Drosophila melanogaster: one gene and its partners. The protein of the gene in region 2 purifies or fractionates together with the protein of the main gene of each other region. This does not show direct contact. Each region holds a gene or a part of one and is shown on either strand. Other genes may lie near its edges. The genes, in order: CG31368, fand and Brr2.

Region 1 (9,559 bases), on a different chromosome or scaffold from region 2:
TCTGTACCCCGTAGCTCCCTTCATTGGCCGATATCTGCCGCAGGACGCGCAACTTGGCGGTCACTTTATCGAAAAGGATGTGAGTGAAAGAAATTTCTTTGAGTGCCTCATCGCTCATGTTTGCCTTTTTTCAGACCATGGTGCTGCTCTCCTTGTACACGGCAGGTCGCGATCCATCACACTTTGAGCAGCCGGAACGTGTGCTCCCGGAGCGCTGGTGCATTGGAGAGACGGAGCAGGTGCATAAGTCACACGGCAGTCTGCCTTTTGCCATCGGCCAGCGGTCTTGCATTGGTCGCCGTGTGGCACTCAAGCAGCTCCACTCCCTGCTGGGCCGATGTGCTGCTCAGTTTGAGATGAGCTGCCTTAACGAGATGCCCGTTGACAGCGTACTCCGCATGGTCACCGTGCCCGATCGGACTTTGCGTTTAGCCCTTCGGCCGCGAACCGAGTGATACAGTCATACACGCATAAACATAATCATAGAACTAACACTAATCGTAATTGTAATCGTAGTCTCTTTAGTTTTATATAAATATATAAATGTCACATATTTAGTAATCTATCTAGTTAAAAATTTCAAACTAGGAAAACAATGCCTGCAGCATGATATAGACTAATAGCACAGTCGCCAGAATAAATATTCCCAGGAGTGGGGCACCCCACACCAGTTGTCCAAAGATCATCGAACAACCGATCGTTGTGAGAGCGGGTATAGAGCCCAATGGTCGTAGGCAAACTCGCGGAGGAACCAGATTTTCACATATTTCAACGTGGCCGGAGCTTTTGTCAAACCACTGTTCCGTCATCGGAGCGTACAACAGTTGCCGGGCCACTTTTCCGAAGTAATCGTCGCGGACGTAGAATCCTTGTAATTGACTACCATACTGGATAAAAAATGTTATCAGGGAAAAACAAAGAGGCCATTTTAAAGAAACTTACCTTATTGTTAATCTTTTCCGAAACGAAATGCAGCATTCTTACCAATGCTCTAACTTCATTGGTTTGGATGGGCAGCGTGGCGGGATCGACAGCGGCATGCAGGCTAGAAGCATTGAGCGACATTTGGTGCGGGTTCAGCTTTGAGGTGTCCAAAGTGTCGCTGGCGTCGAAAAAGCTGAAATTTTGCACAGCAGGCGCAGAAGGCACAGATGGTTCCTCTGGCAGAGTTTCATGCATAGATAGATTCGCTTGATCAACCTGTTTAGATATTCAAATATTTAAATTTTATGTTAACCAAAAACGAACAGTAAACTCACATTAAACGTTCGACAGAATGCGTCGATGCATTGACGCAAAACCTCCGGAATGCGACTGAACTCGCGCAGGGTCACTTCTTCCTGGGTGCACTCGCCAAAGATCTTCTTATAAAAGTTCTTAAGAAATCCTTCAGACCGCTGTCTCTCCGCAATTTCATTTCGTAGCTTGGCGATGTCTCTGAGCACCGAGTTGCGGGCCATACTGATTAGCAACAAGAAGGTTTCCATTTGCGTTTGCATAGTATAACTAAAAAGTTTGGCGGAGCTTATGTTAACAGCTTGATTCCACGGAGTGCCTGGAGAAACGGATTTGCTAAACGAAACAGGATTATTTTAAAATGAGAAGTTATTTAACTAAATAGTCTCAACCCACTTCATTATGTTGACTTGGCGCTGTGGCGAGTCAAAGCCAAAAGAATTGCCTGCATGTATAGCCTCAAAACGCTGAAGTTTATCTACTAAATCATGTTGAGAGAAGATTGTGGCCAGACGGTACAGCATAAATGCGTTCCTATACACAGTGTAGTCCAACCGCCCAAAGTGTGGCAGTAGCTGCATAAATATGTGAGTGTACATAATAAGGTTGTCGATAATAAAGCCATCGAAGCAGGACGAAATGGGCGGCCTGTAGGAAAGACTAGGTCTGAAAAGAAATGTATTAGTGGTCTTTAGTGTTTCAATTTATCAAGTTTAATCTTACGTTTTATTGTTCAGCGACGCTATGGTGTATCTCCATGGCTGAATGTAACTGAGCCAAAGCTCCAGCACCACCATCAACGAGCTGTCCAGAGGCCAACGATCGATCAAACCAACAATAAAGGCGTAGATTCTTGCCTTAACCATACTCAACGATACCTTACGCAGCGCGCACAGCGAACTGTGGTCGTGCTGAGCGCCATTTGCAAAAAAGTGCACCTGCTTGACCAAGGTGCGTACGCCGCGCACAAAATCGCTGCTGGGCAAATGATGCTCCGACTCGATGTCGTAACGCAGCCAGATGTCTACGAAAAAGTGGAGTACACTTTCAGATCGCCATGCGTAAGCCCGGTTGGAGCTGGCACTTGGGCTGTTGGACTGTGGTGATATGTTCCCGACGCCAACGCTTGCACTGGGAATGCCACCGCCGCCCGACACGTTTCCACCATTGCGATAGGAGCTGGGAATCTTAATGTAGCGCGGTTGTCTTTGGGGCTGTAATGCTTGGGCTGGCAATGGCTGTGGCGCCTTAACCCCGCTGCTAAAGTGCACCGGTTCTATGCGTGCATCGGGAAGCAGCGGCAGGAAGTTGTTAAGGTACTCGGCCACCAGTTTCAAGTAGACCGTTTTGCTGCGCACATTGTGGATTTGCATGGCTATGGGATTGATAGAGTGTAGTGGCTGCAGGGCATATAGCACAAAGTGAATCACATAGAAGTCGAAGGCGTTGAGCGAGAGCGTGGACACCTGGTGCATCATCGTCTCCACATTGATGAGTTCTGCATAGAAACTAGGATTCTGACCATTCTGCAGCAGGCTAACGAATTTCGCCTGAAACGAAGGGAATTAGAGTGAGCCATAAATACCCCTATTTAATCCACTTACCGGCAGCAGATTGATGTCTAGTTCGAATTTGTACTGGTCGACGAGCAGACGGTGGCAAACATGCATCAGGGGACCACAGACGCCGAAGAACTGGTGCAGCGTTTGGAATTGCACCGGATTGTTTTCAAGCGTCGTGGTCCGCAGGCCCCAGCCCAACGGATTGCCATCTATCCCGAAGATGGAGTGCACAACGTGGGGGAAGATCTCCTGCACTTGGCGCAAGGAGCACCGATCGAACAGGATGCTCAGCTCGTGCACGCGCTCGAATAGAGGCAAACTGAGCACCGTCAACAGGCGGCTCTGGAATGGAAAGATATTAGAGCGCAATTTGTATTACCTCGATGCTCGCAACTTACGCTTAGGTTTTCTGGCGGCATGGTCTGCGACATGGTGAGTTCGTGTGCGTCAAAATTGTCTTAAATTACAAATAAATATCACTTTAAATCATAAAAACTCTTGCCGGCGTGCTGTAAACAAAAACCTTTCGTCGTGTTGCCGGACCTGCGAAAAATGGTATCATTCCATAGGGCTGCGACATCGGCAAAGAATACGTGAAGTTTTTATAATAATTACATTAAAATTTTAGTGAAATTCGATAGCGGTAATTAATCAAATTCTGAATAATTAATAAAATATTATTTCTTGCATTTTAATTTAGAAACGGATTGGTTATTCGTTTTGCAGATGGTACGGGTTGAGGTGGGAACAGAGTATTTCGGAATAAAAAATTTGGTATATTTTGTCGGCCCTACAACGGTCACACTAGCAACCGGCAGCGTTTGTTTTGCTGCAGATTTTTGTGTTTATTTTCGTTTTTGTGCAATTTAACAAGATCAACATGAAGCGAAGAAGTCAAACTAGAGCCGAACAAGCCGTTCCACCAGCTAAAACTACAAAGGAGAATAGTGGATCGCTCACAGTGTCCCAGCTCAGCTCCGATGTTATTTGGCAGGTGGGTGCTCCGCTGGACAAAATCGAAGTGTAAATTATAGATCTGGATAACCTATTTACAGCTGGCATCGCAGTACTGGACGCCGGACACGAAAGCAGATCACCTGCCGTACAGTGCCAAGATCATCGAACGCATTTACAATGAGGAGATCGGTGATGGCGGTGGCCACAGTGCACGGAGGATAAACATGCTGGAGTTCAGTCAGTATCTGGAGCAGTACCTGTGGCCACACTACCAACGTGAAACCGCCACCCATGCCCACCTTATGTCCATCGTTATAATGGCCAACGAGAAGTTCCGGGAGCGCGTCGAAGTTTGGACCGTGTTTGAAAAGCTCCCGGATCAGTATCCAGCCTTCTTTCGCCACGTGCTAGAGAGCTGTTTGCCGAGCAAAAAGGCAAAGGAGGCTAGTAGCACGCTAAGGGAGCGGACAGCGCTGTTGATGTTCATTAACCACTGCTTTAACAGCATGGAGATAGAGCTGTGCAGAGAACAGGCCAAACGACTAGTCTCCTTGTCCATGTGGCATTGCCTGCAGCCTCGTAAGTTCTTCTTCGCAACTCTTCACATCTATCAAAGTGATCAAAAATGTATTTGCTTGCAGGCCGTCGCGAACAAGAGCTTCGAGAAGTTCCTGAGTGGCGAAAGTACTGGAAACGCTTGCTCAAGAAGGAGAAAGACAGCAAACCGGAGGTCCTCTGGGAGAGACACTTTATGCAGAACCTTATCATTGACTTCCTGCACATACTCGAAAGCATTCCCGCCGAAGGCGAGGTGCCGCGCAACGTGGTTCACTACTGTGAGCGCTTCCTAGAGTTTATTATCGACTTGGAGGCACTTTTGCCGACTCGACGCTTCTTCAACACGGTTTTAGACGACTGTCATCTGATTGTGCGGGCTCTTCTGTCACCCTTGGTTCGTCGCGAGGAGGGAAAACTGTTTGGTCAGGTAGGTGTCAGACTTCTCATTTAATAACTATCTCGTACAGCATAAATTAGTTAAAATTAAGTACAAATCTCAATGTTGGACATTGCTAAACTACGAAAACACTTATATTAGTGTGGACGGTGGCTCCTCAGTAATCGTTGCCGTTCATATAATGCAGCTCATCGCCCCAGTCGTTTGCCGACGGTGGCTCATTGTAGCAGCAGGTCTTTTTCAGCAGAAATGTCACATGTCGCTGGCGCAGCACGCATATGTATAGCAACAGCGGCGTCTGCAGGGCGTTAACTACGATGTGGGCGTAAAGCAGGCCTTCCATCTGCAACCAGGACATTATGAGGAATAGCCAGGCTATAGACATTACTAACAGCATCAGCGAGAACATGATAAAACTGCAAGGAAGATAATGTTTTCATATACTTATATGTAATGCCTAGATGCCGATCTACTTACTTGGCTTTCAATTTGTGCGCAATGCGGCCGTATACCGTCCTGCGGTTAATCAACTTCCTGGTGGTCACATAGAAGAATATGTTTACCAAAATGGTACAAGCAATTGGAGCAAAGAATATGCATATGCCTAGCCAGCCGATCGTCTCTTGCTCGCCCACCATGTGCTCCTGTTTGTAGGATTCGGCGTCGAGGAAGAAATGTGCGAAGACAGCCAGTGCAGCCATCGTTGCTGTGCATCCCCAAGCATACGCAGAATAATAGCAGTACTTCCTGCCGTCCGTGACTCGCAGGAAGACGTTCCTCGAACGAAAGGTCTTCCAAATGTAAAAACCGAAACTGTTCAGCCAGAAGAAAGCTGCCAAGAGGCTGAAGCACAGGATAATGTCCGCCACAATGAAGCTCACATGGCTGGTCAGCTCGGTGAAAATTCTGACAAGGTCTGCTGCCTGGCTTACCATAAGGCACATGGCTATCGTTGTCACAATGTTACCAACCAGATCTCTGCTGAATGGATTGAAAATTAACGCATGAAGCAAGTCAAATTCAAACTATTGCTCACCTGAGAGTAGGAAGTATAAAATAGATGATGGCGATGACCAGCAGGATAACAAGCGAGATGCCATGGAAAATTGGGTTTAAGATTTTGCGGAGCAGAAAGTTTGAGTCACTCCACTTGATCTCCTTGCGGGCCAAGCAAATGTTGGCGAATAGCACATTTTCCTCTCCAGTACTGGAAGTGGCCTGCGAATGGATTTTATGATCATCCATGCAATTTATGTGGACTTTAGCTACTCTTACCTTGTCAATGCAATACAATCCCTTATCGTAGTCATGGTATAGCGGTTCCAGACTGCCGGCAATATCCTCCTCATAATCCGATTGTATTCCATGACGCTCCTCTGCTTCGTTTTCGGCATTGGTGTAATGCCTTAGCCTCCCATCATCCAGTAACACTAGCTTATCAGAGCTCTAGAAAATATAAAAATATCTATAAGTATCTAAAAGTTTCTATGCAAAGAACTTCAAACTCACGCCAGCATAGTGGTATATTGGCCACATCTGCATGGATCCACAATTTGGAATCCCGATGACGAATTTGAACTTAACGGGCCTGTTTTGCTCTCCTCCATAGCTGGTGAACATCGGCTGGAAGTAGTCTGCAAATGGAAACGGACGATAAATAGAGAACACAGACCGTGGAAAATCATAAAGGCAGTTCAAGTTAACGCTGCTTTTGTTGCGGCTGGTGGATCAGAGGGGAGCCAGATTTTCTTTTCTCTCTGCGAATATAAATATTTACGCTTCTGGGCAAAGAACTTGAGCTGTTCCATGCGCCTTCATCAGCTGGTTTTGCAATTTGTGCAGATTGGTTCTTCTTCAATTATCGGAGTTCGGATACATTTTTTTCCACTCAGCCATTCATATGTTAATCATAGCTAAGCACACGGAAATTAGATTGCATGTTGCGATTATGTGCCCTGTTGTATTGTAGTATTGGGATTACTCAAATGACTACAATTAAAATCGGATGAGATCAGTACAATGCAATGATTCAACTATCAGTAATAGTTACATTTTTATGTGTCACCTATATGGCCGATCCATGGTCATAAATGTTTTATCCAGTTTTAGTTGTCCGAGCTAGAATATCGATATAGATGCTAGAGTACGCTTTTCTATTTCCCACAATTGTTGCGATTGTTTGTCAAACATTCACCCAAGGCAATATATCACTATATTCACCATTAGCTCCACAAACATTAATTACCAGGGCTCGCATTTATGGGGAACAGAAGCATCTTATATTACCTTACTAATGGATTTTTTGCCTCATTTTACTTCCAAGAGATAATATTCCCGATTTGGGAATCCCTCATCAAGTGGCTACTTTATAGTTTAAACAGAAACATGCCCCACAGCATAAATCATATTTCTCATCAGGATTGGGGCCACCCTCTGTTTGTTTTAAGAACTTTCTTGGGGGAGTGCGAACTGTGGAGTTGGGGATATTTAGCTGTTGGCTTCGTTCCACTGATCCACTGATAGCCAACAAATGGGCCATTTAATGTTGGGCATACATATGTTGCATGCCAGAAGGGAAAATCCATAAAGTTGAATGGCCAACCAACTTCGTTGTGGTTGTTATGGCAACTTTTTCGAGCGACTAGGAGTTTTCCGCCTGGCCAGCTGTTGAACTTACCCGTTTCATTGACCTGCTGACACTCATGGTCCACGTGTATCTCGAACTTCTCGCAACATTTGTTGACCAGCACTAGGTTGGGATCGGAAGATAGGGCTGTTGATGATCCGGCGCTAGTGACATGACTGGTTACTGGTAAAGGGTTTAGACTAAGAAGTAATACGCAGAGCAGGGAAATCAGCAGAGCGCAGCAGCTGCATTTTTTTGCATTTTGCCCGGCTGCAAAATGCGCGCCAAGCGTTTTTACGAGCATCTTTTGCTTAGTAACACAGACACAGATACAAATACAATACACAGGTAAAAGGCAGTTGTCGTTGGTGTTTATGTGGATCTGCGCTTGCTAAGAAATGCGTCATCAAGGTGCCGGCTGTGAGCCAAGATCATGACTTGCATGCCAGAACTCAAGTAAGGCGACACTTTTTTTTGTATCAACACACCCACAAAGGCACTTTCGTCTGGGTTTCAGACTCGTATTCGGTTAATAAACAATGCGCGCTTTACTTCCTCTTTAAACAGTATTCAAAACGAAATAAAAATTGAAGAAGCAACATCAACCGATTCGAAGCGACGACAAAAAGCGAATGACTCTCTGTCCCCGGCTCTTAATATCGAGTCACTAAGGCGGCGAGAGAGTGGAGAGTTGCGAGAGCAGCGCTCAACCCCCACCAAAGAGCTCCCTCTCTCGCATTGAAAACCAGACTGAGCGTTGTACCCGAGTGCACCGACTATTCACTGCCCTGCCTGAAGGAATTTAAACCCACATATAATACCGTTCTTATTTATTTTCCGATTTAATACTTTTTTAAGGCATGCTATCAAATGTAGAAGAAGACATAGTAGGGAATGTACTTAGACATTTATGTAGGCTTACTACGGTTTCTATATGACTAAATGCTATTTCAATTTCAAGTTACTCACTTATTGCATTTGAAACAGATTGCACGCAAACAGATCTATATACTCAAAAGTAGCGTTGTATAATACCCTTTGATCCATCGAGGGTATAAAATGTGGAAGCAAGGCTTTGAATTCGCGCCCTCTTTCCATCACCGTGCTCTCTTTTTTTAAATTGAGCGACGGAAATTATCAATTGGAGCAAGTAGTCCGTGCGAGTGAAGCAGGAACCGGCAATGTCTGCCCGTATGAGTGTGCGACGGCTTTGTTTGCTCCTCCAGCGCACTCTAGTGCTCCCCCTCCCCTCGCTTCCTGCACCAGGATGAGGCTTGATGATGCGGTGCGATAAGATGCAGCTGTGTGCAATGCCCTATTGACGCGTGGCCTGTCATCACACTTGTCCTCTCGCACCTCCACAAACTCTGAAATGGAAGGGAAGATAAGAAGTCTTCTTTAAAGACTTCCCTTAGTTAAATGTTAGTCCGCAACACCCTTCAGCTAACCTTCAACACAGATTTGTATTGAACACACACGCATGTATTGGGTTTTAGGGAAAGTCCCCCCATTCCAACGGCAAGGACTTCCGCTTTCCGCTCACCTGGCTGGTCTAATTAGCACTACCTCTCTCGCACACATAGCCAAACTTAAATGGTGCAACTGTGTGAGTGGTCTTGCCCAAAATGATGACGTATCAACCTTTTGGGGTACACCAACCGGCTTGGCTTACATAGTATGTCTGGCTTTGAATACCTGTAGTGCAGCTGAAATCAAGAAAGAGAGAGAGAGAGCTTGGCAAGGCAAGAGAAACGCTCAATGTTTGCGTGAGTTTGTAGAATTCACGATGGCAGGTAGTACAACAAACACGTTCCATTCAACACGCGCGTTTGGGAAACCGAACAGGAGCGGATCAGCCCAAATGGGGGTTGAGAATTCATTTATTTGTAATATCTCTTAATTAGATATAACGACTTCTTGACTGATTGCTATAACAATATGAAAAAACAAACATACCTACAGCTCCTGGACATGCTAAAGTTTTATACCCGCTTCGAGATCAACGACGTTACTGGAAGTTCGCTCACTGATCACGACATGACCCAGCTGCACTACAAGAAGATCACCTCGCTGCAGCGAGCGGTGTTCGCCAAGTTTCCCAGCCTGCGGGTCTTTGCCTTGTCCAACGTAGCCACGGTGGATAACAGGGAGTCGCTGGAGCAGCACTTCGGTGGGTTGGATGGCAAGGGACTCCTTCAGATTGCCACGTTCTTGAATCTCGTG
Region 2 (9,637 bases):
AACGAGCAATGGTGGTAACTAGCGCCACAGGTGCGGACGATCCAGATCCGGAGACTACTTGCTTTCCGGACAGGCCATCTGATACAGGAACTGTACGATGGTGCGGGTGGGTCGGCCGGTCATCCGATCCTTGAGCAGATACGGCAGCGGATTGTGGCGTGTCAGCATGCCCACATTCCGGATATCAATGTGGGCCCAATCCGCGCATGGAACCAGTTCGTGCAGCACGGCGGCAGCAATGCAACTGGAGGCGGGACCAATGCCCCTATTGCTGATGTCGAAGGTGAGATTCGGGGTTACCAGCTGCTTGAAGTAGCGCCACAAGGGCAGCCTCCATAAACGATCTCCAGTCAGGCCGCCAGCCTTCTCGAACTGCTTGGCTATGAAATTGGAATTGGTAAACAATCCGGCAGCCGATTCTCCAAGGCCAGCACAGACGCCATAGCCAACGGTGGCCAAGTCCACCACCAGACGAGGCTTGTACGTCGTCTGGGCAAAGAGCAGGGGATCAGCCAATACCACCGTTCCAGCTTTGCTCACATCCACAATACCCATCGTCTTGCCATTGAGCAGGGTGACCACATCACCCGGCTTTACAGCCATTCCCGATGGCATATTCTCGCAGAGCGGCAGTACGGCCGTGATGTTTACAGGCAGGGAAAGGGCTGCCGCAGCTCGAACGGCGGCCACACAAACGGCTGCTCCCGCCATGCAGCCGCGGTACATATGCAGGCAATCCTTTGGCCGCAGGCACAATCCGCCACTGTTGTAGGTCAAACCCTTGCCCAACAGCAGAATGGGCCGATCCTCGGGTGCTGTGCCGCAGTAGCTGACCTCCAGGACCACCGGTGGCTCGCAGCTGCCTTTGGCTATCATTAGAAACGAATTGAGATGATTCATTTCTATCCAATCCATGGATCGCACCTCCACGGAAACGCCGCACGGACACAGGGCATCCACCGCCGATTGGGCGAATATGGTGGGGGTCATCTGATTAGCCGGCGAATCGCTCAATCTTCGAGCCAAGTTCTGAGATTCCGCCTTGAAGAGACCCCTCGTCCAGGCATCCACATCCGGTGAGTCGTACAGATCCAGTTTGGGTACCTGAGTGCGATCCTGCTTGCGCTTGTTGCTATTGTAACGCCAGATGGCCAGAGCACTGCCCTCCGCCGCCTGCTCCGGATATTCCATGGAGTCCACAAAGACTTCCGTGCAACCCTGCAGTTGCAATGCCCGAGCTCCGACGCCAGCGGCAACGCGGGCATTCTCCATACCCTCGTCGATATTCTCCAGGTCATTGAAGCCGGCACCTTCTTGGCCCAAACCCACCACAGCCACTGCCCGGAATTCGGCATCCACGTTCATGAAGACCTTACCCTTGCCCAGTTCCCCCTTGATTCCAGTTTCGCGCAACAGCTCCGAGACCTTGCCCTGAGTTCGGTCGTCGAACTTCTCGCCGCTGGACGTCATCTTGACCTCCTTACCGTCGCCCTCCTTGGAGTAGACGCCCACCACCACGCCCTTGATAACAGTCTTGTTGTCACACTTGTCTGCTAATCCCCTCCAGATTTGAGAATCCGCTGGCTGAAGTCTGTGGTTAAAAAGTGGTGTTCCAAACAGATTGTACGATTTCCAGGGTGCCGTGACCTGTTGATATAATCTTGGATTGCGCGTAAAAGCACTGATCATGCGTGTGGATGCCATCTTCGAGATACACGGTGTGTGGTTAGTCCTGGTTAGTCCGCCCTTGCGCACGTCTGGTTAGCTTTTTTAGATCACGAAGTGCCTAACAATTTTGGAATGACAGTTGAAAGTGTGTTCCTCTGTTTGGCCTAAGGCTATACTAACTAGATCATCCAAAACGGAGACAATATCTAACAGGCCCCCTTCGTTTGACAACAATTAATATCAAAGTACCATTTAAGAATCTAATTGAGGCCAGAACATAAAAACCGATCAATTACAATTGTAAAACTTTCGACATACATGTATTTACCCCGAAAAAAGTCATATATATGTATAAACATTTACTCTCCATCAGAGTCGCCTTGATTTGAGGGCTTGAGGCTGCCGAAGACCTTGGCTGGAATGGCCTTTTGTTCGAAGCGCAGTTTCTTCATGACCAGGCCTTCCTCGTCGGTTTTCGTGACCGCTGCACTGGCCTGATTCTCGTTCGTCATCTCGTTCTCCTCATCGTCGTCCTCCTCCTCATCGTCCTCGTCGCTGTCTCCAATGTCGATCTCATCAGGATTGACGACCGTATCCTTTTTATCCTTAGCACCACCCTGAGTCTCACCGCGCACAAACATAATATTCGAGGCCGCCTTCTCGATGGGCTTCTGTTTGGACTCGGCTGCCGCCTGGCGAGCTTTCTCCTCCAGCAATCGCATGGCATCCGGTCCAGCTCCTGCTCCAGCATCCGCAGCCGCTCCGTTGTTTGTGCTCAGGAATTGGGCGGCCATCATGTTCACCTGCGTATTGTAAGTGGCCTGCACAGAGCGCTTGATGCGCAGCATTTCGCGCATTGTGTCTTCGTTGCCGTGACGCACTTCGAACTCCTTCCAAGTTTGCCAAAAGTCTGCAGTGATGCGGGGATCACAAACCTGAAGAATGCAAACAATAATTAGATTAAGTGATGCATTAGAAATCTATATATATTATCATACCTGTGAGCAATGAGCATAGATGGCTCTAGCTCGATCCACTTCGCCCAACTTCGTTTCCAACTCAGCAAACTTAACGCACATGTGGCGCATATTCTGCTCGGGCAGCGATTCGATGGCCTTCTCATAGATCTCGCGGGTACGTGGCAGGCCATAGATCTCGGCTGCCTTCTTTATAAATATGTTGTACATGTCGAACATCTCATCTTCTTTGACAGCAGACGTGGCACGATCATAGACCGACATGGCATGCCGGGCGAGACCGTGCTCCTCTTCCAACTTAGCATACAGTAAATAAAAGTACTTAGCATGCTCGGGAGGACACTGATCCAGGCACTGTTCGAAGAGATCTCTGGCTCGCTCCAGTTTTGTGCCGCCATAGCGCTCCAAAAATTTGGTTAGATAAGAGTTCCAAATGTCGTAGACATTGGGCCACTTGAACAGAGAGATGCCCTTCTCATAGGCTCGGTAGGCTTCCTCAAAGTAGTTGTGCTCCTCGAGGAACATTCCGTAATTGATAATGATCTGTGGCGTACAGATTTTCAGATCAATAATCCGCTCGTAGACGGCTTTGCACGTCTTGAATGTGCCGAATGACTCCTCCAAATCCGCGTACATGGACCACACTTTTAGCGAGCGATGAAGGCGCGCCTGCACCGTTTCCGTATCATCATAATAGGCAATCTTTCGCTTTGGCATGGCCGTCGCCCTTTGCATCAGCTTGAGTGCCGCCTCGAACTGCTGTTGCCGTAACTCCATCTCTGCCCATTCGCACCACACCGCCGCCAGATCCTCTACTTTAACATACTCAACCTCAGTGCCGCGTTCGAAGACCACACGAGCATCCTCCACCTGTCCGTTGGCCTCGTAGAACTTGGCGAACTCCACCCAGAGAGTGTGTAGTTTGCCGACCGCCTGCTTCGGCTGCACTGTTTGCACGGCCTCGGTGTACGTACTGATGATCTCGGCGGGCTTGTCCTCGTACAGTGTCACCCGCTTGTGCCACTCGTGCACGTTGTGCGGATTCTGGCGCAGAAGCACACTATTCAACAGCAGCAAACGGCGCTCCATGAGGTATTCGAAGCGTGAGAGCCGCAGTTCAACGTCAATGTCGTCCTCCTCGGTGGCCGCCTCATTGGCAGCTACCTGCTCCATACGTCTGTTCAGCGAGAGTTCCTCGAACTGTGCGTATTCATCAAAGACTTGGGTGAAGTCTCTTACGGTGGTCACAGTTTGAATGGCTTCCTCGTATATATCTCTTGCCCGATCAAATAAGCCGGAACGCACATAGTAATCCGCCAGAGAGTTCCACAGGTGGCCCAGCTGATCGGTGTAGCGACGCAGCCCACCGCGAATGATGGCGTCCACGTTCAAGGAGTGCACCTTGTGTGGATTCTTCGAGATGAGGTCGCACAATTCGTTCCACAGCTGATGATTGGACTTGCCGTGTTTGGAAACGAAGTGCTCGTTGTCGACGATGTGCGCCAGCTGCTGGGCAGCTTCGTCCAGCCGATCTGCTTCCTGTAGGTAGTCCACATATTCCTCTGTGTCCTCGGGAAAGAGTTTCAGATATCGACGGTAGACTCGCAGTGCTGTTTCCGGCATTTCAAAGCGGCGTACAAACTGCAAATACAGTGGCCAAATCCTGCCGTGCTGCGTGATGGGCAGAGCCCTTAGAGCCCGATCGAAAACGTGCCGGGTGCGGGTAATCTTGCATTGCGAGGTCATGAAGGCACCGTAGTCCATCCAGATACGTGGCATTTTGTGCATAAACACCAGTGCACGTTCGAAGGCACTGTTGACCTCCTCGTACATGGGATCCGTGGGTATCTTGCCGCGCACCTGCTTCCTGCGAGTTCTCAGGTAATTGTGCCAGATCTTATAGCTGCCAGGAAGCTCTTTCAGAGCACGCTCATAGACCATGTTAACACCATTATTCGGCGCCTTCGCTTTGTGATCAATGTAGCGCAGCCAATGTTTTACGGAGTAGGCGTTTCGAAGGATTTCCTCCTCATACGGCACATCCTCCACTTCCTGTGTGTGAAAAACTTGATAGGTTAGTTGTGATTTACATATATTTCATGGTACTTACGAAATTGATCTCTAAATTCAGAGATTTTATCGTTTTTGTCACCATTTTTCGCGATTTTCATGAAATGCCGCAAACAATAATTTTCTCATGCGCGTCCCACGAAAACAGCTGATCGAAATGGCGTTGCCAGAAGGTTTGAAAAGTAGTGGTATTAAGATACCGCAGCTAATACCAAAGTAATTAAATCCTAATTAACATGTAAACAATATTTTAAGAATACAGAAAAATTGTTCATAAAACTAAGATAACTTTGGCTTGTGTACATTTTTTTTACAAATTGTGAACATCTAGAATTTTCTAAGTGCACCTTATTTAAACGTTGAAGTTATGGACAAACCAAAACAATCGTGAATTTTCTAGAGTACCATTGCGGTATATTTTGCCTCCCTTTGAATTGGTATTTCGCCCTTCGTCCGCTGCCCAACACTGGCCTCAGTTTGTGAATTTTTCGTAAGCCCATCTGCAGATGTTTTCGTCGCTGCTGCCAATATTTTGACGTTCATACCGTTTGCGTATTTCGCAGAGACCAGTTAACGCGCTCGTAAAATCGCAAAAAACACACTTAACGCGATCGTTTGTTCTGTTTTTGTAAACACATTGCAATTGGCCTGCATTTTGCATAATTTACGCAACGAAGGCAACTGCGTGAGTGCACCAACACACACACACACACACACAGCCGTGCAAAAGAGAGCCAAAGAGAGTGAGGAGCGCAGGCGAGTTGGCAGCCAAAGGCAAAAAATCAAAGTCTATCGAAAAAAACACTATAAAAATAGATCAAAATGACGCGCTTGAAACATTTCTCAGCATAGAACGACTATCAATCGAATTAAGTTTTAAGTAATACCCAACGACCGTGGAAAAACCAAGCACAGTGGTAAGTAAAAGACGAGGGGAAAACACGAAAAAACACGTCACACGTGTGCGTGTGCTTGCAAGTGTGTGTGTGCGAGCGTGTGAGTGGGTGGGTGTCATAAATATTTTCGCACACACTTGTTCCTGCATTGATTTTATATTTTTCGCACAGGCTCAAACTTGTGTGTGCCGCCGCACTCCAATTGGTCCAGGTAAATCCAATTAGACTGGATCCTAGGTAAAAAAAAACCACCACCGGAAAATCTATTTCCCCGCTTCCCGAACAGCTGTTTATGATGGTTCTCAAAAATTTTCCACTCGCTCTTGTTGCCCGAGGGAAAATTTTGGGCATTTTAGGGCCTCCCGTATTGAATGTAAACAGAAAACACACACGAAAGTGCGGAAAAGCGCTTAGATTTTCCTTGCCGGCTGTGGCCCAATATCTCTCTCTTTGCCACCCCCTCTCTTCGCACTGTTGCCACCCACTAAACTGACACACTAAGCCGCCCGCCAGCAACAACAGCAACAACAAAGGCGGCTAAAACCACTGCAGCTTTGAGCCGCATGCAGCTTTTTTAACTGCCAGCGGAAAAGCTTTATCAATTCAGTTGGCTAAAATCCCAGCAAAGATTCGGGTTTATTTCAAGGAAAACTTTTAATTCTTAAAATTAAAAATGCCCGTTGTTTTCAAATGAGATTTTTTAAAATGATTATTATGTCTAAAAATTGTAAATAATCTAAAAGAGTTGAAAAAACCATAGCATATTCACTTAAAAATAGCTTAAAAACATTGCTAATTATAAAATATCATATTGAGATGACTTCTGCTAACAATATTATATCATATTCAATATTTTGCCCACTGAGAATGAGAATGTGCTGACCACAATTTCCCCTAAGCCACCCACTGCACTTCAACGAATATTCCAGAAACGCTCGGAGAAAGCTTCTCTTGGCCAAAAGCAGCTTTCCTGCCGCTTTTTATAGTCTCATTTATTGATTCCATTCCTCTCTTCTGTTCTTATTTCTACTTGCAGCCAAAGCAACGCATCGACGCATAAACGCTAGTTAATAATAAAAGTGCATAAAATTATTCGTATTCCAACCATCTTCCGTCATCTAAAGTGCTAAAAATTCGTCACCATGTCGCGTTCAAGTAGTTTGTTTTTTAATTCGGCTGCCAAGTTAGAGACTAAAAAACTTAATTGATTCGATCAAGAAAAGTGAGCAACCAGCAGTGAAAATACACAACAGCAGCATAATCACTTTCGAAACCAGTTTTTTCGTAAAGAATCGCGAAGAGTGTTCCAGAAAAGTGCAACATCACATTCCCACACAGTATATGCACACACACACAAACACACTATATATACATATAGGTACATATATAGCAACATCGGAGCATCCAGGGAAACGACCCACAGCACCCACTTCGGTTAATCTCGCTTGGTAATTAAGGGTTCATCGCCTAATGGCAAGTTCGCTCAACAAGACGAGACACAGGCGCAGACTGGCTGCGATCTCGTTCCTATCGAATATCTCGTTAGATGGCACCCATCGGGACACCAAATTCGGCGCAACATTCGGCAGCAGCCTGCTCTGCAACCAGAATAAGAACCCATCCTCGCTGGGACTCGGCTCGGGGGGCTTTCATCCGCACTATCAGCAGCACCACCATCAGCGCAGCCACTCGGCGACGCACCACAACCACCAGAAGCGGCATCACACGCAGCAGCAGCAGCAACAGCAACAACAGCAACACACCCAACAGCAGCAGCAGCAGCAGCAACATCAGCAGCAGCATCAGCAGCAGCAGCAACACCAGAATGGCGCCCTCTGTTCGCCGCTCCTCTGCAGCGCCGATGTCCACATGGGCATCGATGGCGGCATCGGGCTGGGATTGGGACTGGAGGACTGCACCACCGGTGCCAGCGATGGGGACGGGCATTTTAGTGAAACTGAAAATATGGGTCAATACCTGATGAACGTCCTGCCGGCCGCCGATCACAATCGCAGCAGCATTGTGCCGGCCGAGAGACGCAACATAAAGCGCCCGACCTCGTCGGGTCGTCATAACCACCAGGCACCGGGCAATGGCAATATGGGCAATAAGCTCCAACAGCAGCAGCAGCAGCAGCACAAGTTGCAGCAGCAACAGCGGCAGGCACGAAGTTGCGCCGCCGGCAGCGGAGGATCGGGTGCCGAGAGTGGCAGCGATTCGGACAGCGTCAAGATACCGCTCAAGGTGTCCAATCTGGGCAGCGGCGGTGGCGTGGCCGGCGGAGCGGGCAGCAAGCTATTGCCGCTGAGGGAACGGTGAGTAATCAATGCACAATTCATGTTTGTCATATCAGTGAACTATCTTAGCTTATTATGGTTTCTAATCAGCATTTTGTTAAGCAGTTGCTAGAAGTTGTAATCAAATTAGCTGTATGAAGAGGCAACTGTAAAGATTCTTACCATAAGTTTATATAATATTATAAATGTTATATTAGATCGACTATAAGGGAACCTACCAAAATATTCAAACAGGAAATGTGTTAAGTTATTGCAGCTTCAAATTTATGTTTTTCCAATTAAACGATCTTCTATCTTGTAGACACTCAGAAATAGATTGACACGTGACGTCAAGTGGACAGTTTTCCTTAGTCCAATCGCAATATTTTCCAACCATACACGTACGAATGAAATTCGCTTAATATTCCTTTGCTCTTTGTTGATTTATAAATAATTTCTACGCTACGAGAATGAATGAATCATTCCGCTTGATCACTGAACTTTTGTTGAGTTCAATTAAGCTGTCGTCATAATTGGCATCGATTTTTCCCCTCCCCAAATTTGTTAATTGAAATTTCCGCTAAGTTTACGTTAGCCAATTGACACTGGTTCTCTAATTTGCTTACGAAAAAGGCTCAGCTTGATCGAAAGTACCGCGAAAGCAAAACACTTCGCTGGGCGTTCTGAAATCGAAAATTATTTATAAACATAAGCTTGTGAAAATTGAGAGAGCGCTTTTCCGATTGTGACGTATTTTCGCAGATGGCGAGGGACTATTTGCACGTTTTCAACGCCTGATGCTGCATAATTAGGAGTCTGTCTGTTGCCGGTCGCTTGGCGCTAAAAATATCGCCTACCCCAAAAATACACATCAAATATTTTGATCTCATGAGGGGCAAGGGGTTGGGCGTTGGATGGGAGGGTGGGGCCTGTAATCGAATCGGCTTCATTCATCAACGTGTGCCGGCTCAATTAACGTAAATTAGAGAGCGTGCCCGGCCGAAAGCTGTGCAAACAATTGTTTGAATTAAGTTGAATTGAATTGCATGTCGAGGGGCGTCGCGGTGTTCGTTTAATTCGGAACTTTTGTCCGAGGCGCCAGTCATTTTGTCACGCACTTAAACGGCCTGTCAACGTTGAATCATGGGCATTATATCTGGTTGTATTAGCGCAAAGTAATTACGCAATGTCCAAATGCGTGTGCCATCGAATCGCTCGTAAATCGCTAGCGAAACGCTCGTAAACCGCTCGCAAACTGCCTTGAACTTACGCCCCACTCTACCCCCCCCCCCCCTACTCGGGGGGACTTTCTTTGTCTTTCTCCGTGCATAAAGCTGGGCAAAGCTAAGGTGCATCTCAGAGCTTTCACTTCCAATGCCAGATACAAGTTTCGTTGAACTCGTTGGATGCGCTTTGGCTAACTGACCTTGTTTGCCACATGCAGCTTTGCAGTCGTGCTCCGCTGGCGTTTCGCTATTTTTGCCTAGCGTTTTCGTTTTCGGTTTCTTTCGCATGCCGCCGCCACTCAACTGGTGGCTAACCCGTTTTTCCTCGGATTCCGCAGGGGTGGGGAAGGGGACTTATTGTCATCCATCCGTTGGTTACATACTTGTAGATATGCATTTGGCTTGCAGCCAATTGGCTTGTCAGCGACCTGTCATTGCCATTTGCTGTGGCAAATCAAATTCCCGGGGATTTGGTTTTAGTTTGGCAATGACTATGCAAAAGCTTGAGAAGGATGCTATTACTA
Region 3 (12,108 bases), on a different chromosome or scaffold from region 2:
GAAATCCCGGATTCGGCGGTAATCAAGGTGGAAAAGTTCAGGCAGGTACATCGGCCGGCGCTGGGGGAACCAAAGCGGGTGTTGATGTTGGTGCCGGACCAGATGGCGGCAATGCCAATGCCAACGTCGAGTTAAATCCGCTGGGACCACTCGGACCCAGTGGTTACAACCAGGAGCAGGCCGCATCCAACGGAGCTGCCCACAGCAACTACAACAATGGACTCAACTCAGGATCCTCGGCCGCCAGTGGGCAGGCTCAGGGCTTCCAGTCGCAGAGTGCCAATGGATCATTCGGTGCCTCCTCCGCAAGCACGGCCACTCAGTCCCAGAACACCAGCCCCTTTGGATCCAATAATGCGGCAGGTGCTTCGCTGAGTCAGGTTTACCATCTTCCCAATGGACAGACAATAAACTTTAGCTCCACGAACAGCTTCGCTAATGGAGGAGCCAATCGTGGCAGTAGCCATGGATCGGCAGTTTCTGTCAGCCGCTAAAAGCCAAGTTCACCATACAGGGAAAATACCTCCAAGTTAATCTATTTGTCAGCAATCCTATGTGCAAATATCTAAAAAATCCAAATAAATATTTATGATTGAATTGAATTTGAATGAATAATTTGAATGATTTTTTTAAAATCTAAACGGTTGCATTTTGATGATCCAGATTACAAATTACAACAAACTTGAATTGTTCCATACGAAATTTAAAAGCTTAAGACAATATAAGAATTGGCACTGTTGACTACAAAATATTTAGATTCTTGGTATCAACCAGCGAAAGAAAGTTGAAAGGTTTTTTTTATTTTGTTTTTTTTTTTTTTTGTACTACTTTATATAATTATCCTCAGTGTATCCTTGTACAATTTGGTTTCTACTAAAGTAGTACACGAATTTATTATTGCTACAATTAATGCGCGTAAATTGTAAAATGATTGATTTTCATTTGTGCAAACATGCCCAACTGATGATCCTAAAGAAAACTAATCTGACTCGCTTTCGCTTTCCGACTGGAAGTCACCCACTTCGATGGAAAACTTGTACTCCTGATCACAACCCAAATAGGAATCGCTCATGTAGTACAGAGTGTAGTCGTGTTTGCCCGGACTAGGTGCCACAAAGTCCAGCTTGACCTTTGCCTTTTGCTGCAGCGTGAGCCGTTTGATGGAGAGCAGGGAGTTGGTCTTGGGATCACCTATGACGACCCACCATCCTTCTTCGCGCTTCTGCGGGAAGAATGGAGCAATGACTGGGCCAGTGACCTCATCCTCACGTTCCAGTTGAACCACTACATTAACGGTTGATCCTGAGTTGATGCGATCCTTGTCCACCACCTCATAGTTCAGCTCAATGTTGGGGTAACGGTTGCAGAATCGAGCAACATCGGCCATTTGTAAATCGGAGAGCTGCAGCAGGCGAGTGCGATCCTCGTCCTCCAATTCCATGATATCGAAAACGGTTTCGATTTTCTGAAATATACGACGAAACATGAGATAATCCTAGAGATTCACTTGTTGTTACTCTCACCTTCTCTGTGCACCGCTTGACAATCTCGGGACTAAAGTGCGGCAACTGTTTCAAGTACGAGTCCTTGCTCCACATGGCCTGCGTGACCATCTGAGCCAGCTCCATGGCAGCCACAGCCGGCGACAGCCAGCCATTTGAACTCAGCACATCTACGCAGGCCTGAATGAGGCGGATGGCCTTGCTCAGTATCTGCTCCGTATCGCCTTGCAGTTCAGGTCCCAGTTGCAATCGCGAAAGATGAGCCTGAAGCAGCAAATTGGTCTTGATGTGCGGATCATTGAATCTAAAAATAACATTGGTAAAATTCTTTTTAAGATCTAAATGTATGGGTTGCTTACTTTGGAGCCGTTTCATTGGGTCCTGTGAGTTTGTTGGGCAGTCGCTGAGACAGCGTGCGCAGAACCTGCTCCTCATGATGCCTGACCACAACATCCTCGTACTCAGCTGCCGATGAAATAATTTCCAGCAGGCCCCGCACTTTTGTTTTGCTGTTGAGGGACAAACTGAAGAGCTCTGGGAAAAAATGATAGGAAAATGAAGATGACAATTGCCTAAACTTAAATCTAATGCTTCATACCGATAGTTGTGTAGTTGATGTAATAGTAGGCAGCAATCATGCCCAGATTGAGTGGCAGCGTGTCCATATCATCCTCCACGCTAATACACTTGGACTGTTCTAGATCGCTCAGCGTATTCTCCACCAACTCCGAAAGATGGTCGGAGAGATGGCGATGCGTGACACCCTGCAGATTGTAGTAGTTGGGATTTTGGGTCAATCGTCTGTAGAGGAACGTCCAGGTGAGATAATCAACGGCATCCTGTTTGTTCTCAATTGTCTTGGTGACCACCTCGGCGTTAAAGTGATCATGCATTCTATGATCCAAATGACTTTCGATGGGCAGCGGCTCGTTGATGAATTTCTTAAAGAAGTCCTTCTTGCTGCTCTGGCACATCAGCACGCATTTGGCATCCGCATCCTCGTTCGGCCGATTGGCTCGACCAATCATTTGCAGCACGTCTGTAATGGGATAGTCCTCATACGAATGATTCTTGCCATTGTAAAATTGTGTGTCCATGATGATCACCAAGTGAGCGGAGATGCTCATGCCCCAGCAAAGGTCTCTGGAGATAACAGCTACTTGCACGGCGCCAGAGTCAAACAGCTGCTCCACCAGGCGATGATCTGAGGCGGATAGGCCCTCATGGAGATAGGCCACTCCTTGCGCTAGGGTCTCCTTCAAAGTTTTATCCGTCATTCGTTCGAGGAACGGCTTGATGTCCTCCTCCTCAGCATGGAAAAAACGGTTGGGTTGCAAATCCGATGCTGCGTAGGTCAAAACATCAATTGCAGTGAGCCTGGCCTGCTTTCTGGACGAGACAAACACAATCACCGGCTTGTGGGCGCTGTACTTGAGGATGGCATTGTAAACAGGCTTGGACATCGTAGCAATTCTGGTGGCGTTGTGAGTGACATTATAGCCCTGGATGTGCAGCTCCAACGGAATGGGACGCACGCTGGGGTGGAAATTGAAAGTGGCATTGGGATTACAGCCCAGCCACTGGGCGACATCCCTGGCATCCGTTAGCGATGCAGACAACGCCACTATTCTGATCTGTTTCTCAATCTGCGAGCTAATGTATCGCATCCTGGAGCATACAATTTCCAAAACGGGACCTTCTTCGCCACCAACCAACTGCAGTTCGTCCACAATGAACAGGTTCACCAATTGTACGTTCTTCCTCTGTTTCCATCTGCGAGACAACACATCCCACTTATCCGCAGTAGTGATCACCAGCTGTCCCTTGGCTATGAGCTTAAGATCGGTTCCAGTTTCGCCGGTCAATTTAACCACTTTTATGTCCAGGGATCCAAATTTGCTATGCCAATCCGCAAAAACTAAGTCCGCCAATGCCTCCTCCGAGACCAAATATACACATCGGGCATCGGATTGGGTAGTGAACAAGCGCATGATGGCAAACTCTGCAATAGTCATCTTTCCGGATCCGGTTGGTGCTCCAACAAAGACATTCTCATCACTATTGTAGACTGCGTTGAAGACCTGTGTCTGAATGGGATTGAATTGCGGGAAGCGTTGCGAATAAAAGGATTCAAACTTCGGCTGCCGGAGTGCACTAATAGGAAGCGGTTGGAGATCCAAAAGCTCCGTAGGTGGCATATTCTTCTCGGGCAGAATCAAGTGTCGGAAAGAAACTGGTAATTGGGTCTCTGCACCTATCCAACGATCTGAGACAATGCGAAGGAAGTACTGCGGTGGCAGAGGTTCAAAGACAGGCACAAAGAACTTAAGCTGGTGCTCATCTTGGGAATACTTCTGCTTCAGCAGGAAAAACTCATGATGGAGAATGAGTTCCGAGTCGACATCTTCAATTAAAACCCAGAAACCTTCCGACTGGCCATGCACCTTTTCATCCCATTGGAAATCCGGTGTAATTGTTAGTTCCACTCTCAGAGTTCCCCTTGTTATGGGTTGAATGTGCGTGGAGAGCTCCAATTTGGGGAACTGGTGCACAAACTTGTGGATGGTCTTTCCTAGCTTGGGCACTCTAATCAGCTCACCAAGTTCATGTGGCTCTAGATCGTAAAGCCTGCCCCAGGGGAAGTGTTTTTTCTCCAGCTTCTTGGCAATCTCATCGGGCATCTTCTTGAACTGCCTAAGTGGTGTCATCGATTGCCACATTCTTCTGTCGATCATCTTGCAGAGCGTCAACGTTTTGTCCGCCAATTGAGCCCATCCGCGGGTCAATACAATCTCAAAAATGGCTCTCATTAAACGGGCAGCGGATTGGGTAATAAACACCATGTCCGACATCAATGCAAAGCCCTCCAGTTTCAACTGGGAGATATAGGCTTGCAGCAAAACATTCACCTTGGCACTGTGCTCTTCAATGGACTCCTTAATGGGAATGGGCACTCGTTCCATGAGCTTCTGCAGCTCCAACTTTTCCTCTTCTCGGACGGAAATATGCCGGAATTCCGAGGATAGGGAGAATACGCGGAACAACTCAATCTCACTAAGAGTTTGCTTAAGGAGCTGGTTGTAAGTCAGCATGGTTTCATGGGTTAGGTAATAGTGAGAGGCAATGCGTCCCAGATCAGTAACCTGAAAGTGTCCCGTCTTCCGATCGTATTTAATAAGGCCACTTCTCTCCAGACAGCAAGCTGCGGTATGCAGGAGATCAGCACGATGCTGTTCCAACAGAGGATCAGCCTTGATGGCATCATGGGAAACTCCGTACAACGTGGGATTCCTCAGCATTCTAATGTACAGATAAGTGTAGCCCAACCAGTTAACTGCATCCTGGAGATGTTGGACCGTTCCTAGCACAATCTCCGCATTGAGCATGTCAGGAAGCTTGGAGATGAATTGGGACTCAATCGGCAACTGCTGGTTGAGCAAGGAGAGATAGAACTGCAACTCACTGTGATTGGTTATAAGAATACCCTCACCCTTGGTATCATACTGCGGTCGTCCAGCACGACCCAACATCTGCAGTACATCCAAAGCACTCAGCTCCACCCAACGTCCTTTTTCCGGATTGTATACCTGCGTGCCCTTGATGATTACAGTATGGGCAGGGAGATTGACACCCCAAGCTAGCGTGGCGGTGGAAACCAAAACTTGAATGTGCCGATCAGCAAATAGATCTTCCACCAAAGTACGATCGACGCGGGTCATTCCAGCATGATGAATGGCGAAGCCGTAGGGCAATAACTCCTTAAGCTCTGTGTTCTTTACTTGTTCGGCTTCAGTCCGCAGCACTTCCATGCTTGCTGATCCTTCCTTAAGAAAGCTACCAAGGGTATCCTGCTCCAGGCACATGTCCCTCACAGCCCTGGCCGTTTTTCCAGTCTCCTTGCGCGAGTGTACGAAGACCAGGACCTGATTACGCCCAGCATGCTCCATGGTCTTCTCATAAACGATCTCGTTCATCACCTGGAATCGCTTTAGGGCCTTCTTCTCCGTCACACCGATATACTGCTGCTCCAGGGACACAGGCCGATAGCTGTTATCAAAGTAGAAGAGGCCTTTATCGGGCTTTACGCGTAGGAAGGTGGCCACGTCCTGATAGTTGGGCAGTGTGGCAGATAAGCCCACCAATCGCACCTCCTCCTGGGTAGTTTCAATATTCCTTATCGTACGCGCCACCAGGGCCTCAAGCACCGGACCACGCTCGTCGTGGAGCAAGTGAATCTCATCGATGATAACCAACCGGACTAAGCTCACAAAGGTACGCTCGCCTCCCTTTCGAGTGATGATATCCCACTTCTCTGGTGTGCACACAATCACCTGCGTGGCGGCGATCTGTTCCCTGGTCAGCTGGTGATCTCCAGTCAACTCAGAGACCGTCAGATTATAGCAAGCAAGACGTCGTCCAAAATTGCCAACCATTTCCTGCACCAGCGATTTCATGGGAGCCACGTAAATGATTTTGAAATCCTGCGCATTGATGGTGCCATCCTCGTTGATGTGCTTTCCAATCTCCCGCATCATGGTTAGCAGTGCCACATTAGTTTTACCAGCTCCAGTAGGGGCGCACAGCAGCATATTCTCATCACTGTCCAGTGCGGCCTTGTACAAACGACTTTGGATACGATTAAGGGTCTTGAAACCCTCGAACACAGGCTGCACATATTTCGGAAGCTTGTCCACAGGCTGAAGTTCCTCATTGGCATCAAATGGCACGGGTTTCAGTGCAGGCACGTGCACCTCCTCGTAGCCCTTTCGTTGTTTCCTGTAGGAGCCGTCGGGAAGCTGACAGCGCTTGTTGGCCATAAAGTGAGATCCTTGAGTGAATGCCATCTCTTCCAACTCGAGTAGCTGTCGCACACCGGCCACCTGCCCGGCAGCCGCCGCTCCACCATCCTCTGCATCGCCTTTGCCACGCTTGCTTCCCCGTGCTTCGCCCTCCTCCTGATCCTCTGACTTTCCCGTATCCAATTGCCGAAGGATTTTGGCCAACGCAGAATTTCCGCGCATCTTCTCGCGAATCCTTTGCCGCTCGCTGTCCGTTTGGGCCGAGGCGAGCATGGTGCAGTACAGGACCATCTGCCGGTTAAGCTTCAATTGCTTAATGAAGTCAAAGCAATCGTAGCCCAGCAGAAGCACCAATTGATTTTCGCAATCGCGATCGTCGGCGGCATCTTTGAGGATCTTCAACACATCGGCGGCTTTGCTTTGCGACACCATGGCGTCCTTGTAGAACTTGCTCAGACAACGCTGCAACCAATACGCATCTATGTCCAGAGGATGCAAGGAGCGCTCTTTCTTTACATTATTTGCGGCTTCCTCGTTGGCTAGCTGGGAAGGGATACACGAATAAGAAATGGGATTCGCAATTTTAACTACATTACTCACATTCTCTGCATGCAGTGTGTGATCAATGCGGGCCTCCTCTCCTTCATCCTGGGCATCATCGTCGCGAATCTCGCCATACATGTCGTTGTCGCTCTCCTCTTCGGATTCCTCAAACTGAACATTGATGCCGTAGGTTTCATCGATCTGCTCCTCGTTGTTGGGAGCAGCAGTCAAAGCATTCACGGCATCGCTGCCAAAGTCTGTGATTTTTTTGCCCAGGTTAACCAGCAGAGCGAATCGCTCATCTGTAACTGCGCCCAGCAAGCTGTCTATATCCTTCTTTCGCTCCCGATCCTTTAAACGATCGTTCTTGAGGACAGCCAGAATCTCATCAGCGGCACCGCACAGGATATCCCTGGGCTGATCCCCCAGAGCCTCCTGGATGAAACTGAGCAGGACCTCGTAGGTCTGACGAGTTTCCTGGGTCTTGGGTCGATACACAATGCCCACCATCTCGTCAATGCCCTCGGAGAGCAGAGTGGCTCCCTTCATCCGCTCGAAATCGTACTGGGCCTCGTCGCGCTTCTGACGTTTCACCTTGCGCTCCTCCGTTTTCTCCGGCTTCGTTCGCTGGTACCGATCTCCCATCCTTGTTCCGTCCAGCTTTCCCACCAGGGAACACACCTCGCCAGTGGCCTCATCGCGGCGCGGACGTTCGATGAGTCGGACATCGGCTTGCAGCACAAGATTGGAGTTCTGAAAAATGGAAAATACATTTAACGTGTTTGTGAAATTCTGGTGAGACGCCGCATGGAGTGGGAGAAGTTTTCCCGGGCGGGATTTGACACTTACCGCCTTGTACTCGTATTGCAGCTGACGTGCTGCGGCATCCGCCATGTCTGTTTAGTTGTTTTTATAAGTATTAAGCACTTTTATTAACCTATTTTACAACTTTTTGCGGAAATATCGTAGTGAAAAGCCGCTGTTTGTGGCTACGCGTGCTGCCAGATTGTCAAAAGGCTAAAGAGATGCCATATGTGCGAAGCCAACTGAAAATCGATATCAGGGCTGCCATTTGTAGGAAACCTATCGTTAGCGCGCGCATCTAAGTTTTTAAAAATGTAGCCCATCAACATTCTATTTAAAATTTGAATACTGGTTTTTTAGCTTTTGTAAACACCAAAATTTCCTACGCACTAGCAATCCACAAAAGAAATTGCTATAAATTTGACCATAATTCTCATAATTGAGATATATCTAGTATATTTTAAGTTCCGAACTGCGGCTTCGGTCACACTGGCGGCGACGTCGGCAGCGATGCCGACGTCTATTTACAACGCATCGTTTTGTTTATTGTTCAGTCAGATCAGAGTAATGTGCTTATATATGAGGCTGCAGCTGGTTTAACTGGAAACATTTGTGGTCCGTCGACTGCTCGAGATCATTGTACACGGCTGACACAATTCATTACAAAGCAATCGAAGGTAAACCAGTGAAGAGGAACAAGTGCCAGCATGCTGCTGCCCCCGTACCAAGAAGCCTGCAATCCCGGCTTCTGTGATTGCCCGTTTCCCAACTCCATTGAGGTTACCAACCACAAGGGCCATATACCCGACCTGGTCAGGTGCCAATGCGGCGAGGATGAGTCCGGAAACGTGAATGCCTGGCGGTGGCACGCCACTGATGAATCGGATGCCGTGGTCACCGACCGGGACATCATCTTCCATCCCACCTACAGTCAGGGCACGGCGATTGTGAGAGGGGAACAGGCCCTAAAAACAAACATGGTGCACTTTTGGGAGATGCGCGTCATCACGACTCTGGCCGGCACGGATGTGGTTAGTTATCAGGCCGGCTTGGCAACTAGTTGGGATGCTCAGCATGATGAATGTCACTCAAAGTCGCCGCCTTAAAATAGAACACAACTAACCAGGCATCTGGTGTGCTCGTTTCCATTGGAGACGACTTGATTGTTCGCTTCGTTGTATTATGGATTACAGATTACAACGCGGCGATAAGATAACAGACGCAGCGGGAGGAGGAAATCTCAGCAGACACCCCAACTAGATGATAAGCCAGCTAAAGTTCAATGTAAATAATGTTCTCTTTATAATTGCCTTTCTTTTCTTATAACTTTTCCTAGATGTTCGGCATCGGCACGGAAAGCGTTAATCTAGGGCAGTTCAAGTTTCACTTTGTCTCGGCCCTGGGCACCAATGCCCAGTCCTGGGGCTTTTCGTATTCCGGAAGGATTCAGCACTGTGGCGAGTTACTGCCCTACGGCCAGAAGTTCTCGCAGGGCTGCTTGATTGGTGTCTGTTTGGATCGAACGCGTGGGCACTTGGAGTTCTATTTGAACCGCAGATCGCTGGGAGTGGCCTACACCAATGTCCCGACGGATCCGGATGTCAAAATATATCCCATGGTCTGCTCCACAGCCGCGAAGTCCGTAATTAGGCTGATCAACTGCACTTCGCAACCAGTCACACTGCAGCTGCGATCTTTCCAAGCATTGTCCAGGCAGCCGCTCAAATTGGCCGAACTGCGTCAAATGCCGGGTCTCAAAGGCATCATGCAATCCTACTGGTTCCTGGCACCGCCAATTCGTTACTCCCGGAACTCCCGCGAAAACGAATTGGATCTGGGCGACGAAGCAGTGCTCTCAAGCTCCAAGCAACGGTTGAGGCGCAAACAAAAGTACCGAGGTGAGGTCACGAAGTTACGTCCACTATCATTTCTGCCACATCACTTTTGCAATTTCAATTAATAGAAACCGACGATGCGGCTGTTGATGAGGACGACTTGTACGCCAATGCACACAAAATCACGTTGCGAAGCAGTGATAGCGGCGACGAGGAGCACACCGCTAGTGTCCACGAGATGTGCGACGAGTACTTCCACTACCTGCTTTAGTCTTACCAAGCATATCAATATGTTTAAGTATGCATTTATTTGAAGGAGCTTAGTTATAAATGTAATAAGTAGAAATGCTGAAGCTAATTTTAATTACTGTAAGACTTCCTAAAATACAACTTATTAATTAAACGAAACATCATAATTTTCCCATTTTGATATATTTAAAACCATTTCCTTTATACGCTAGCAGCGATGTATTCATTTAGGTACCGATTTAAATAAGATCTTTGTTACTAATTCCAGCCTGGTCTAGGTTGAACAATCTCTCAAGGAGCAATCCGCCGTCCATTAATGACAAGTTTTTCGATTTACTTTATGTTAGGTATGCATTTATTTTAAAGCACATAATTATACAATCAATAGAATTGGGAGAAATAAATGGTGTGTGCGAAAATAATTGAATAGGAAACTTAATCGAGAACCTACAACTAGAAAATTAGTATAGATAAAAGTGATAGCATGATAGGTTAGATGGTTAAAAAAACCCGTAGGCTAGGGTTTTGGTAAGCATCGTCCTTGAAAGTAAAACTTAAACTAATTAATAATCAATTGCCCATGCCTTCGACATCCGACGATCCGCGCTTGAAGATCACTCCCAACGGTAGCTAGTCCATGTCATCGTCGTCATCGTCTGAAATAGTGTACTTCTTTTGGGAGCGCTTGCGACGCGTCTGCTTCTTGGATGTGGTAGCCGCTCCGCTGCTCACATTCGACGATGATTGCGTGGGCGTAGCGGGCGCACTAGCCAGAGATTTGTTCAGTTTCAGCTTCATTTTGACAGCCGCCGCTGAAGTGGTTGCAATCTCCTCGTCGTCGGAGCCGTCATCGCCACCATCGTCGTCGTCGTTGTCCGAATTATCCGAACCTCCATTGCCGTGCGCTTCACCCGTGTTATCTCCGGCTGCCACTGCGGCTGCATCCGCTGCAGCTGTTATCCTCTGCCTGGCCCCAACGAATACCTTTTGCAGGGCAATCGAGTCCAGGTAAATCAGAGACGCCTCTTCGTTGTAGATCTGTGCATTCTGGCATAGCTGCATAAAGTCCTTCTCCAGCTCGTTGAGATCGGCATACTTGCAGTCCTCAATGCGCTGCAGGATTTTCTTAATATCAACTGGCCGCTTAATGATCTCGTAGTAGTCGGGCAACCTCTGCCGCGAAGGCAACTTCATGAACGGTTCGGACAGGGTTCGTCCATCTTGGTTGTGCTTGATAACCGCACTCATAATCTTGTGCATCTGCTTCTTGGACCGCTTGTCCAGATTTTGGCGTCGTCGCCGTTTTAGGATCAACGAATCATCGTCGGACTCTTCCTTCCGATTCTTACGCTTTCGTCGCTTGCGCTTCGAATCGTCTTCCTCCTCTTCCTCGTCGAACTCAGCGCCATCGTCGATGGCTTTCAGCCACTCCTTTTCAGTCAAACTATCGGTGTAGTCTACTTCCTTTCGCTGCCGGGAGCCTCGACCTAAGGCGGAATAGTTATCGTAAGAAAAATGTTTAAATAACAGCGAGCAGTGTAACTCACCTAGAATGGTATCCTCGTCGTACTGATAGTGGAAACGCTCTACTTCGTCATCATCCTTTGTCAACCAGTCGGGTAGCTCGGACTCATCGATCAGACGTTCCCTACCCGGATGGATCTCCTCATCCTCCTTCTTGCGCTCAGCATCCATGCGCTTAAATATTTCAATCTCCTCCTCGCTGCGGGCGATCATCATGTTGATCATTTCGTCATCGGGCACCTCATTTTCCTCCTCCTCTTCGTTGTCATCCTGGTGCAGAATCGTTTGTAGGAACTGCTGTCGCTCGCTACCCGTTGACTTCTGATCGAACATACCAGCCTGGATGACCTTCTCGTCCATGTTCAGCTTGTACCTGGCTGCTGCCAAGATGCGCTCTTCCACCGAGTTGACTGTCATTAGTCGCAGGACGCGCACCTCGTTACGTTGACCAATACGATGGGCACGATCCTGGGCTTGCAGATCCTGATGGGGATTCCAATCGGAGTCGAAGATTACTACAGTATCGGCGGTCTGCAGATTAAGACCCAAACCACCAGCTCGGGTAGATAGCAAAAAGACAAATACATCCGAGCCTTTGGCGTTGAATTTTCGCAGTAGTTCGCCACGATCCTCGGCCTTCGTGGTACCGTCGAGTCGAAGGTAGCCGAATTGGCGCCATCCCAGGTAGTCTTCGATGATGGTCATGCATTGGGTCATCTGACAGAAGAGCAGCACGCGATGATTGGTCGCCTTCAGCTTGGGCAGGATGCGATCAAGCAGCTCGAATTTGCCAGAGACACGATACAGATCCGGTCCTTTAATTTGAAAAAGATTAGATTATACCAATGTAAA

The links.
Region 1: the proteins of fand (region 2) and CG31368 purify together in Drosophila melanogaster (affinity purification with mass spectrometry, with the first as the bait; one large-scale study listed by BioGRID). This does not show direct contact.
Region 3: the proteins of fand (region 2) and Brr2 purify together in Drosophila melanogaster (affinity purification with mass spectrometry, with the first as the bait; one large-scale study listed by BioGRID). This does not show direct contact.

Annotation. Positions count from the first base shown.
Region 1 is NT_033777.3:11,879,196-11,888,754, forward strand, and holds the start of CG31368 (uncharacterized protein), read left to right. Parts: upstream 1-3,594; 5' UTR 3,595-3,678; coding exon 3,679-3,792; intron 3,793-3,853; coding exon 3,854-4,334; intron 4,335-4,396; coding exon 4,397-4,740; intron 4,741-4,742; exon of another isoform or gene 4,743-4,867; coding exon of another isoform or gene 4,868-5,126; intron 5,127-5,187; coding exon of another isoform or gene 5,188-5,691; intron 5,692-5,746; coding exon of another isoform or gene 5,747-5,928; intron 5,929-5,985; coding exon of another isoform or gene 5,986-6,156; intron 6,157-6,219; coding exon of another isoform or gene 6,220-6,344; intron 6,345-7,387; coding exon of another isoform or gene 7,388-7,640; exon of another isoform or gene 7,641-7,973; intron 7,974-9,298; coding exon 9,299-9,559. Other genes in the region: sad (shadow), read left to right, coding at 1-79, 135-455; CG6962 (uncharacterized protein), read right to left, coding at 585-887, 943-1,200, 1,260-1,572, 1,633-1,902, 1,960-2,786, 2,841-3,140, 3,197-3,229; mthl5 (methuselah-like 5), read right to left, coding at 4,868-5,126, 5,188-5,691, 5,747-5,928, 5,986-6,156, 6,220-6,344, 7,388-7,640.
Region 2 is NT_033778.4:13,588,889-13,598,525, reverse strand, and holds fand (fandango), read right to left. Parts: upstream 4,883-9,637; 5' UTR 4,801-4,882; coding exon 4,756-4,800; intron 4,698-4,755; coding exon 2,667-4,697; intron 2,604-2,666; coding exon 2,028-2,603; 3' UTR 1,969-2,027; downstream 1-1,968. Other genes in the region: S-Lap5 (Sperm-Leucylaminopeptidase 5), read right to left, coding at 55-1,704; CG45088 (uncharacterized protein), read left to right, coding at 6,754-6,819; CG6191 (uncharacterized protein), read left to right, coding at 7,082-7,926. UniProt on the Drosophila melanogaster protein: Subunit of the NTC(Nineteen)/Prp19 complex, which is part of the spliceosome. The complex participates in spliceosome assembly, its remodeling and is required for efficient spliceosome activation. Essential for efficient pre-mRNA splicing.
Region 3 is NT_037436.4:15,960,015-15,972,122, forward strand, and holds Brr2 (Brr2 U5 snRNP complex subunit), read right to left. Parts: upstream 7,859-12,108; 5' UTR 7,739-7,858; coding exon 7,694-7,738; intron 7,598-7,693; coding exon 6,902-7,597; intron 6,845-6,901; coding exon 2,101-6,844; intron 2,037-2,100; coding exon 1,862-2,036; intron 1,807-1,861; coding exon 1,524-1,806; intron 1,466-1,523; coding exon 980-1,465; 3' UTR 822-979; downstream 1-821. Other genes in the region: CG17032 (uncharacterized protein), read left to right, coding at 1-494; CG10516 (uncharacterized protein), read left to right, coding at 8,356-8,679, 8,985-9,546, 9,612-9,754; brm (brahma), read right to left, coding at 10,363-11,219, 11,280-12,071. UniProt on the Drosophila melanogaster protein: Catalyzes the ATP-dependent unwinding of U4/U6 RNA duplices, an essential step in the assembly of a catalytically active spliceosome. Plays a role in pre-mRNA splicing.